Oryctolagus cuniculus: one gene and its partner. The protein of the gene in region 2 binds, or shares a complex with, the protein of the main gene of each other region. Links are inferred from orthologs where the notes say so. Each region holds a gene or a part of one and is shown on either strand. Other genes may lie near its edges.

Evidence for each region.
Region 1: IMMT (region 2) and CHCHD3 share a complex: the UniProt entries of both Homo sapiens proteins name them as parts of the mitochondrial contact site and cristae organizing system (MICOS) complex. The link is inferred for Oryctolagus cuniculus from reciprocal best matches to the Homo sapiens genes IMMT and CHCHD3.

The regions. Positions count from the first base shown.
Region 1 is NC_091434.1:168,673,903-168,679,298, reverse strand, and holds part of CHCHD3 (MICOS complex subunit MIC19), read left to right. Parts: exon of another isoform or gene 1-2,268; coding exon 2,269-2,404; intron 2,405-5,396. UniProt on the Homo sapiens protein: Component of the MICOS complex, a large protein complex of the mitochondrial inner membrane that plays crucial roles in the maintenance of crista junctions, inner membrane architecture, and formation of contact sites to the outer membrane.
Region 2 is NC_091433.1:116,578,954-116,584,349, forward strand, and holds part of IMMT (MICOS complex subunit MIC60), read left to right. Parts: intron 1-255; coding exon 256-329; intron 330-1,071; coding exon 1,072-1,261; intron 1,262-5,238; coding exon 5,239-5,350; intron 5,351-5,396. UniProt on the Homo sapiens protein: Component of the MICOS complex, a large protein complex of the mitochondrial inner membrane that plays crucial roles in the maintenance of crista junctions, inner membrane architecture, and formation of contact sites to the outer membrane.

The DNA.
Region 1 (5,396 bases), on a different chromosome or scaffold from region 2:
CCCTGGAAGTGAATGGTATTGATTTGTGGTGATAAAAGTATATTTTGACACATATCAAATCATAAATAACTCATGGACTTTAACTTGCATGCTAATAGCTCATCTCAGGGTAGATGCTTACGTACAACTTAAATTTCCTTTTTCGAAGGAGTCTGTAGCATGAAACAAAATTATTTCATTATGAAAAGTCTTTTTGAAAAAAAAAGAAAAAAATGCTGTCTTCTTTCTGATGTGCAGCACGTGGGTGGGGGCTCATTCTTACAAGCTTTTCCTCCTATCTGATCAGGTTTGTTCCAATCTCCTGCCCTGTGCGTCCCCCCACCTCCTTCCCCTGCTTTTAAATCAAAGATGCCTCAGAAACACAATCAATTGTCAGCACTGGAGTAGATGTCACCCTGCTTTCCTGTGAGCCATTAGAGTCATTAGTCATGTGTTTGCTGGGTTCCACTCACCTGATGCTTAATCATATTTTATTCAGTATTTATCCAGGTGCAGGCCCGGCTATAATCAGTCAGTTAGTGCTAAGTGTGCCCGATCCCCTCGCAGCACAGCTGGCTCCTTTTAAATGCTGATGTTCATCAGAGGGGATTAGGGAAATCTGTGGCCAGAAAAAGTCCCAGATATCTGAACTTGGAAATCTTAAAAAGAATTGAAACTCCTGGGCTTGGATTTAAATTCTCTCCTTAGGTATTTGACAAAGTGGTAAGGTAATGAATGAAAAAGTAAAGGCAATGTTAGGTAAAATTTGTAGGACTATTCCCCGGCCCCTCCCCGTATTCTGCTTTCTGAGGGTAGTAGGAAGTAAATTCCCTCAGGGACTGGTATCTTACTTTGCATTTCTATTCTCGCAAAATATACATTAGCTTAGTGTGTTGGATAAAAGTAATGAGGAGACAAATCGTCACCCAAGGGTTTCCTTATTGATGGGAAATAGTTGCCCAGGTTCTCCAGGGCTTTCCTAGAACCCATTAAATGGAAAAGAATGCTATTTCAAGATTACTATGGAAATAACAAATTTAAATTTCAGAAAAAGAACTGATAAGAAGGAAGATTCTTGCATTAAAAAACTAATTTTTAACAAATATGAATTCCTAGATGAAAAAGGATAGCATGTGTTTTCTCTGTGTGTATTTGGTCCTTATAAGCCAAGTTCCCCTGCCATTTTAGCAAAGAAATTTTTTTCCCTTGTCTAATTGATTTGGTTTATGTTGCTATTGTGATTTTTCAAGTGGACATTATAAGCATTATGGAACCATTTATCTTTGGAATATCATATTCACTGAGAGCAATCTAAAAATCTGAGATTTTTAAGTACAATTGGCAAAATTTTTAACTCTGGGAATTTTAAAATGTTTTCTTGCCACTCATTTGTATTCATTCAACACATTTATTGTCTGACTTGTGTGGGGAGGATCCATATCTAAGGGCTTAGGACACAAAGGAAAGAAGACAGGGTCCTTCTTACATAGGCTAGCGAATTCTGCTGGACAGCAGTGTGCTTGGGGTTATGTGTTTGCCGAGAGAAGTTAATACGGGATCCGTGGGGTCACCCAAAAGGGTATGGTAGACCCTCGCAGGGAGGGAAGAGCTAATGGAATCTATACACAGGTTAGGCTGGAGCGTGGTGTTGAAATATGGGTCGGTGTTTCCCAGGCTTAGAGGCCTGCTAAGCGTTTGTGGGCCAGAGCGGCCTGAGCAGACACGAAGAGAAGGCTCCACCCTGAACGTACTTTTCCAGGCTGCAGCAGTGTGCCGACTGGGAACGTGACCGTCCACTCAAATTGATGTTTCTTTGGGGAGACTTCTGGCTTGAGGGTCTGGCCCTACCTCTGGCTGGGGAGTGACGGGTAAAGAGGCGGCAGGGACCTGTTTGGGAGGAACCGGGTCTGTTGACCTTGTATCTTATTTGAAAGCTGCACCTGCAGATGGAAGAGAGAAGTTACAGCTTGCACGTTGCTGGCTCAGATGACCAGGCCGAAGAGTCCTGGCGCCATTCATAGGTTTGGGTGTGGATTTAAAAGCGAAGGTTCTAGCATCCCAGGGAGACTTGTGTTGATGGAGCTCATTTCATAGAATTCATTTACCTTGTATACGTTTTTTATCATGGGAATAATTTGAATATCTTTCCTTAAAGTTCTAAGGAAAATGATTGAATCTTTTTCTGCACTTGGCCACATTGAGATGTTCTTTAACATTTGCTGTATTCTGTAACTCCGTGTATCCTGAGTGGAGGCCACGTGTCTCAGTGGTCCCTGTCTTTGTCCTTAGGCGGTACGAGTATCATCCAGTGTGTGCTGACCTGCAGGCGAGGATTCTCCAGTGTTACCGCCAGAACACCCACCAGACCCTCAGCTGCTCTGCTCTGGCCAACCAGTACATGCACTGTGTGAATCATGCCAAACAGGTGAGTGTGCCAGCCGGGGGCTGGCTGGGCTCCGGTGGAGTGGAAAGCCCAGCGGCTCAGGGCACAGGGGAGGATGCCCTGGGCTAATGTGTGTGGGGAAAGGCTGGGTAAACTCAGGTGGTCCTCATCAAGAATGGCGGTCCTGAGCTGGCTGGGTCAGAGCTGCCACGCGCATTCTCCTCGTGTTCAGCTAGCTCACTTGTGCAACAAAGAGACTCTTAAACTGACACTTCTCCCCACTCGCCCTGCACATTCGTCCTCAACTAATTGTGTTCTCGAGGGCATTGCCTCATACTTGCAAGCCAGTATTCAAAGCCAGCAGAGAGGAAGGCTATAAATTAAGAGGCCTACAGCTTTGGGCCCATGAACAGCAGGTCTACTTACAGGGCAGCTGGTCTTAAAAAACAGGGAATGCAATGCACCATCCGATCACCATGCAATCATGGCACCCCTTGTTAGAAGTCCTCTCAGTTGTCCAGGAAAAGGGACGACAGAAACAGGATTTGGGCGAGAATTCCCATTGCTTTGCTACGCCATAGCCACGTTCTTCTCTTCACCCTCCATATCAGAACAATAGAATGTTCCCAGGATTTGCATTTTCTCTAATTTATGCACTTCAGAAAACTAGTGATAAACCCTAAAGCAAATTGTCCCCATTCCGGTAGGTCACGTAATTGCCTGGCCTTTAACTGCTGTAACCGTCGGATGGAAATGGCTGGAAACCTTGCTTCTCTCTGCCGACAAACTCCCTAGCATTGACCTCCTAACCCCACTCAACCCAGCATCTAAGTCACAGAGCGAGCCTTTATGCACTCTAATCCGCTGTAGTTGTAATCACGCCACTCAGTGTAAATTCCTAACACCTCATAACCATCTGGTGGGAGGAGTGGTATTGTCTGGATACCAAAAAAATAGCAGTGACACTAGCGGGGGGAAAAACACCCTCAGGATTGATGAAAAGTTTGCGTTATTTTTTAAAAGGCCTCCTGGCCCATGGCTTTTTTTCTGTCCTCACTTGCATCAGCACTTGGATAACTCTCAGTAGTACGTCAGGGATTCTTTTCTTTATAGGCCTTTCAGAGAAGTAACGTTGTTAATGGAAAGTGAGTGTGTTTTATTTGTCAAGCAGCTTTTGATCGGCCTCAACTCTCCACGTTAATACCCATAACCGTGGGCTTTTCCTCACTTAATAGCAGCGCCTTATTGAGGCGGGACTGAGTAGTGAACCAGTAGAAAGAAGAAGGCCGTGACATAGGGCGGTCCACCGCTGGTGTCTGCCGTACGTGCCTGTTTCCCCAGTGTGATTTGGAGTATTGAGCCCATCCCGCCTGCATAGGGTGTGTTGCATTATTTTCACATAGCCTGGTGAGGTTGGCCGGTGGCATGCATTTCCAGAATAAGATAAAGGTAACTTGTGACAAAGTCAGTGTTAGGTGGTGCATTAGAGCCTTGTTCTCTGGGTTTAATGGGAATGCTGGGATGATTGCATTTATATAAAGCATTTATTTTTTACCTTCCTTCCTGAGCTGCATTCCTTTATACCGAAACTAAACAGATCAGCCAGAAGCATCAAATGATTGCAAATGATTCCAAATCACCCTCCTTCCTCCCCCTCCCTCCCCAGTAATTTCTCAGTAAATTTTGGCTAGTGTATGTGGGGTATTTGTTTTCCCAGCTCTTAAATTCAGTTATTAGGAAATGTGTCATACAAGGAAATATTAAAAACATGAGTCCACAAAACCTCAATCCTAAGACAGGCGACATTGAAATGAGCAAGAACCAAGAAACAGCAGTGCTTTATTTTTCTGCAGTTCTTAAGATTTCAAGGTCATTTCACACCCGCTCTCTTACCTGTTTCTTATGACAACCTGAGATGTAAATAAGAGGTGGTTTTACTTTTACCATTTCACAGTTGAGAGCATGGAAACTCAGGAGAGTCGTGGCAGTGAATTTAACAGCCAGACCGAGATGCACCTTGTCATCAAAGCAAAACAAAGCACAGTGTCAACGTAGACTAAGTGGTGTCTGGTGTGGCGGTGGGTGTGGGTGGAAGGGGACACCCGCCGTTCACGGTCAGAGGAGCAGTGCAGTGAGGGAACGGGAGAGGCAGATGCCTGCCAGGGAGAGAGCGCTGGGGAAGCCGCCGTGGAGTCTCAAGGTCTCAGACGGGCGTGGGATGGTGGGGCCCGGGATCGGAGGGGCAGGTGAGCGCTGCCCCCTGGAAGATCACACCGGCATGGCTCGCGAAACAGCCACTTGCGGTCCTCCCATGCCACATTGCCCCCTTGCTGCGTGTGGAGTTCATCTGACCTCGTGCCCCCCAACTCTGCCCCCTTGGTAGAAGAGACTAGGCAGTTACGTGGCCTTCACTGCCCATCTTGGCTTTTCCTGGAGGGCCACCTCCTCTTCTCAGGCTTCCGGTCAGACCCAGAGAACAGGCTAGACGAGTCCCCAATGATGTCCTGGGGTGCCTTTCTGACGAGGGACAGTCCCAGTCACCAAGGCCGCTCCGCTCCCACGGCCCGTAAGCGGAGCGTCCACTGCTGCCGCGGGCACTGTCCTGCAGACGAACGCACCTCACTGATAGGAAGGTCTCCGGATGTCCCTCAGCCTAACTTTCCCTTTCTTCTTATTCATCCACTTAGGCTCATCAGTCTCCGGCTCTTCTTAAACAATTCCTCATGGGTTGACATGAAACATTGAGACTATTATTTCCAGTATATTAAGTTACGTGTTCTTCATAAGGATAAAGAGACATTAAATTGCTCTAATTATTATTTCTAAGGCTTAAGAGCTGCCGGCCAGCTCTGTGAGATAAAGCATTTAAAAACGAAGAGCAGAAATTGATACAGACGTCCATGTCTTTTGTAATCTCTCATATCTGCTCAGCCTTAGGACTTTTTTAAGCTCCCCACGATGGGATCACCTCTTCTTACCATGAAAAGTCTGCTGCACCTGGGGTGGGAGGTTCCCATTCTGTCTTACTGCACCT
Region 2 (5,396 bases):
ACATGGCACTTAAAAATATTGATTGGTCATAGTCTCATAATTCTTTTTAAAAAATATTACTAATAGGAGTCTTGGTGCAGGAAGCATCACTGTTTCATTTCTAAGAATATAAATGTCTCTTGACTTTGATTTCTGAAAATAAAATTTTTGTTTACTGAAGACATTTAAAATAAAGGTATTGTTTCTGCCTTACCAACTCTAAAAATGCCCCACATTTCTTAACTCTATCGGTTGCAATGTTTTTTTCTCCTTTAGAGTTGTCTCTGCGGGAAATTTGTCCTCCGTCCATTACGACCATGCCGAAGATACTCAACTTCAGGCAGTTCTGGGTATGTAGTATGTCTCGGCTTTTGACTGTGTGTGTGTGCGTGTGTATGTGTATGTGTGTTTTCCTGGAATATCGGAATAGCTGCCTAAAACCTTTTAATAAGAAGTATATACTCTAGAGTTTTGCTGTGGTATCTTTGGAGGGACCTTCTGGAGCACTGTTGTATTTCTGGGTGAAAAATTTTTATGATGCCTTTTGGTTTTTTGATAATCAGCATCCAGTGGAGATGCTGCCCCTTCCCATGTGCCATCTTCTGTTCCATGGCAAATAGATTTATATGCAGAACTCAGCATATTGTAGCTTGAAAAAGTGTTCTGTTTGATATTTTATGATCTTTTGTAAAGGATTAATTTTATTGTATTTACAATATATAATTAAGGGAGAGGAGCCTTAAAAGGTCATGGTAGTTTTTTTTTTTTTTTTTTGAGTTTAAAGGAAATTGCATAATTTGAATATCTAGAGTTTTAAGTGTTGAAGGATAGATTGCTTCATTCTTTCTCCCTTAGATACTGTATTCTAAAAAAATTTAGTTATCCCTATATGTTAGGAGTTTTTTGTTGCAGACTTGTTGAAAAATCAGAAAAATATGATGTGCTACTGTGGTAGTAAACTTGGCTGCTGTGATCTGGATCAGTGGTAGAGAAGTAGATGTTACAGATCAGAGTTCTTTGATTCTCCTAAGTTGGAGAATAGATACAGGAAAGCCAAGAAATATAAATGTGTTCCCCATTTCTTTGATATAGGTTGACTGCTGGCAAAATTGCTGGAGCTGGCCTTTTGTTTGTTGGTGGAGGTATTGGTGGCACTATTCTTTATGCAAAATGGGATTCCCATTTCCGAGAAAGTGTAGAGAAAACCATACCTTACTCAGACAAACTCTTTGAAATGGTTCTTGGTTCTGCACCTTACAGTATTCCACTGCCAAAGAAGCCGGTAAGAGGTTTGTTTGTTTGTTTAGCATTTCAGTTTATCCTATGTAAGGCTTTTAAAAGGAGGTTCTTTTCATCTTGAAAATATTTTGGAAAAACAAATTGTAAAGTTTTATTATAACTGTAATTCAGTACAGCCTGTCAGAGGTACTTCATTTCTGTTTAAATTGAACTGGTAGTAATCTATAAGGTGAGTGTTTATCCTTTTGGACATGCATAAGTGCATACCATGGGGAAAATAATTGTGCGATCCACAAGGGCAAATAGAGGAGCAGTATAGGAGGAAGTAACCCTGGTTGCCCTGTGGATCGAAGGGGAATCTGTCAGTCTACGTTGTTGCAGCCGTCAAGCTCTGACTTGACAGCCGTAGATGTCAAATGGTCATGACGCAGCCCACATGTTACGTTAGCAATGGCTTCTTTCAGAGCGTGAAACAGTCACTGAAGTTTCAGCTACATTTTGATTGGCTGACAGAAATATCTTTCATTGTTCATGAGGCTTTGTACATACTCTTCATTTTCACTCCTTTTTCTGCATCAGAATTAAACTTTTTTTTTTTTTTTTTTTTTTTTTTTGACAGAGTGGACAGTGAGAGAGAGAGAGAAAGGGTCTTCCTTTGCCGTTGGTTCACCCTCCAATGGCCGCCGCGGCCGGCGCACTGCGCTGATCCGAAGCCAGGAGCCAGGTACTTCTCCTGGTCTCCCATGGGGTGCAGGGCCCAAGCACTTGGGCCATCCTCCACTGCACTCCCTGGTCACAGCAGAGAGCTGGCCTGGAAGAGGGGCAACCGGGACAGAATCCGGCGCCCCGACTGGGACTAGAACCCGGTGTGCTGGTGCCGCAAGGCGGAGGATTAGCCTAGTGAGCCGCGGTGCCGGCCAGAATTAAACATTTTTAAAACTCAACTATTTCTTCATTTAAACATAGCTTCTTGTAACAATTTATTAAAGAGTATGAATTTTGGGTTTTTGATATTGGGCAATTCTTCATGCGATGAGGCTAGACATGGCTAATCCATTCATTCAAAACTGGATGAGCTTCAATTCTCCAGTAGGTAGAATGATGTAGGACCAATTTTGTAACAAAGATGATATTTAGAAAATCAAGTGTTCCGTGGTTGCCTGCCTACCCCACACTTCAGCCATCCTTTTCTTTCTTTTTTTCGATCCATTGACTTTTATTACAAATGTACTTGATCACTTGGCTTCAAAAGTTTAAAATCAATACCCTAGTTTCTGTAGGCCAGTACACAGCAAACTTTTACAAATTAAATACCTAGAAATTTGACCAAAATAGTAAAATCTGATGAAAATTGTGAAAATCCTTAATCTCTTCAAAAGAGTATAGTCTTCCCAGTTCTATTATACAATATTAATAATATTCACCATTTTTAGACTAGGTAGCTAAATTACATTTTTCTATTAGCATAAGAAAACTCTTACTAATAGATATTATTTGTATATGATCCAGTTAAGTTTGTGAATGCCATCTGATTGCAATATAATCAACTATCTTTAATTGAATTCCAATTTATACTTATTTAAGAATTTGTATAGTTGGAAAGGGATACAGGTTATTCTACAACATAGGCTGTGATAGTGCTGTTTTTCAAGGCAATAAGTATTTGTGCCAAAATGAAATTATTTTCTTTAGTCAGGGGTTAAAATTACTAGCAGCTTTCTTCATTACCTGAAAAATCAAATTGGAATAGTTATCCATATCTAAATGTGAAGGCCTAAAAAAACATTGATATATTTTCCACTTTGAGTCAAATTTCAACCCCTGCACAAGATAACTAGAAAGTGAGACTTTCAAGTTTTTTTTCTTTAATTTCCCTGTTGGCTTTAGCTTCTTTTCTTTTTTAAAGATTTATTTATTTATTTGAAAGTCAGAGTTAGAGAGAGGAGAGGCAGAGAGAGAGGTCTTCCATCCGCTGGTTCATTCCCCAATTGGCTGCAATGGCCGGCCGGAGCTGTGCCTATCTGAAGCCAGGAGCCAGGAGCTTCCTCTAGGTCTCCCACGTGGGTGCAGGGGCCCAAGGACTTGGGCCATCCTCCACTGCTAACCCAGGCCACAGCAGAGAGCTGGATTGGAAGAAGAGCAGCCGGGACTGGAACCGGCGCCCATATGGGATGCCGGCACTGCAGGTGGCAGCTTTACCCGCTGTGTCGTAGTGCCAGCAGTTTATTGCTTTCATAAAATAAAACTGTGCATTTTATTTCAGAGTATCTGCTTTATTACCTGTATGATTATTTGTGTAGTAAGTGTTTTCTCAATACTTACTATGTAGACATTAAAACTTTTTTGATAGACATAGAATAAGACCTGTATGAATGGATACTAATGTTATATTCATAGATGGAACTTAATGTCAGAAAGATGTTATTTCTCTTATGTGTCTCATAAATATGTTTTTACGGTATGTGTACATAAACATACAAAGAAATAGGTAAAGAATTCTAATGACATTTTCTAGAGGGTGAGGTACCAGACCTCATGATTTTAAAGTTCATATGGCAGAATTCATGATGTACAAGACTAGCCAAGAAAATTTGGAAAAAGGATGGGAAAGGGTCAGAAAACATTTGCTTTCTACCTATTATGTTGCTTTAATCAAATCAGTTCTTGACAACAGGAATAGAAATTAGAGGAATAGCACAACTACTGGAAATAGATTTTAGAAATAGATTTTATTCATACACGTTTATTTTGAATGTGAATTGGTAGAACTGTATGTGAAATTGATCTGTTAATATCAAAAATATAGCACCTTGATCCAGCAGTTCCTTTTCCAAGAAATTATCTTGCAGATAACATACAACAGCACTTTTTATTTATTTGGATGTTCATTGATTCAGTGTTTGTGAGACAAAATAAACAACTGGAATGTTGAATGGTTGACTAAATTCTGAGATAGTCTCTTTTTTTTTTTTTTTTTTTTTTTTTTTTTTTTTTTTTTTTAAGTTTTAAGCTTTTTATTCAGTGAGAGAAATGTATAGGAGAGTGAGGGCCCTATCTAAAAGAGAGAGGGAAATCTGGGTTCATACCAAGTACCAGGAGCCAGCCATGTGGAAGAGCATGGAGGGCCAGGAAGCATGGGGTGGGTGGCCTGAGGGCCATGCGCCCCAAAGGTGCAGGACAGCAAGGCCCGCAATGCACAGGGGTGGAGGGAGAGGTTTCAGGCCGGGGCTTCCTGAGCTAGCTGGAAGGGAAAGGAGCAATGAAGAGACCATGTAAAACCACTGATGTATGCAAGTATTGCTTTGCTTGTTTCAGTGAGCCTGTGTTTCCTAATTTAGGAATGATAATGTTTTATTAAAAATAAAAGGGATATATTTCTTGTAGTTTCCTGTGGGTAAGTAGTCATCTTAGGGATATCTGAGACATGCTGCCAGGTTCTGACAAAATGTGAGACATCACAGATGGTAAATAAAATATTTCTGTTACTCCTTAACTTTCTCTGGCACATCTCTGGAAGTCTTTTATGGATAGTACCTTAAATCTAAGGCAGGTAGTAACTGGAAAAGAGAAAAGCAAGCATTACTCACAAATTGATGTGTAATTGCATGAATCCTGGAGATTAAAGAAACAAAAACTGATTTTCATTTTTACTCAGATTCTGTAGTAAACTTTGTTTCTGACACTGTAATTTGATTTAGAAAGTAAATAGAAACACCTGCTTGTTGTATTTGTAAAAGAATCTTTAAGGGGAAGGGCATATGTATACTTTATTGTTTGTCCTAAAAGAACCTTTTGTTAGTACTAAAATATGCATTAGTGATTTGGAATAGAATTTTTGAACTGCAAATTTTCTAGTAATGATGACTTTTCTTACTGTGATTAATAAAATGCTTTTGTTGTAAAGCACTCATAATTTCATATTAAAAGCCTGAAAGACTTGACCTTTGAAATATTATAAATTGTTGTGTGCTGTCTTTTAGAAACAGTATTATATGTAAATTTTTTTTTTTTCCCCTCAAGATTCAGTCTGGTCCACTAAAAATCTCCAGTGTATCAGAGGTAATGAAAGAATCTAAACAGCCCGCCTCACAACTTCAGAAACACAAAGGAGATACTCCAGCTTCAACAACAGGTACTTCTATCTAAAACCATTCTTTAAAAATTATGGGGAAATGAAT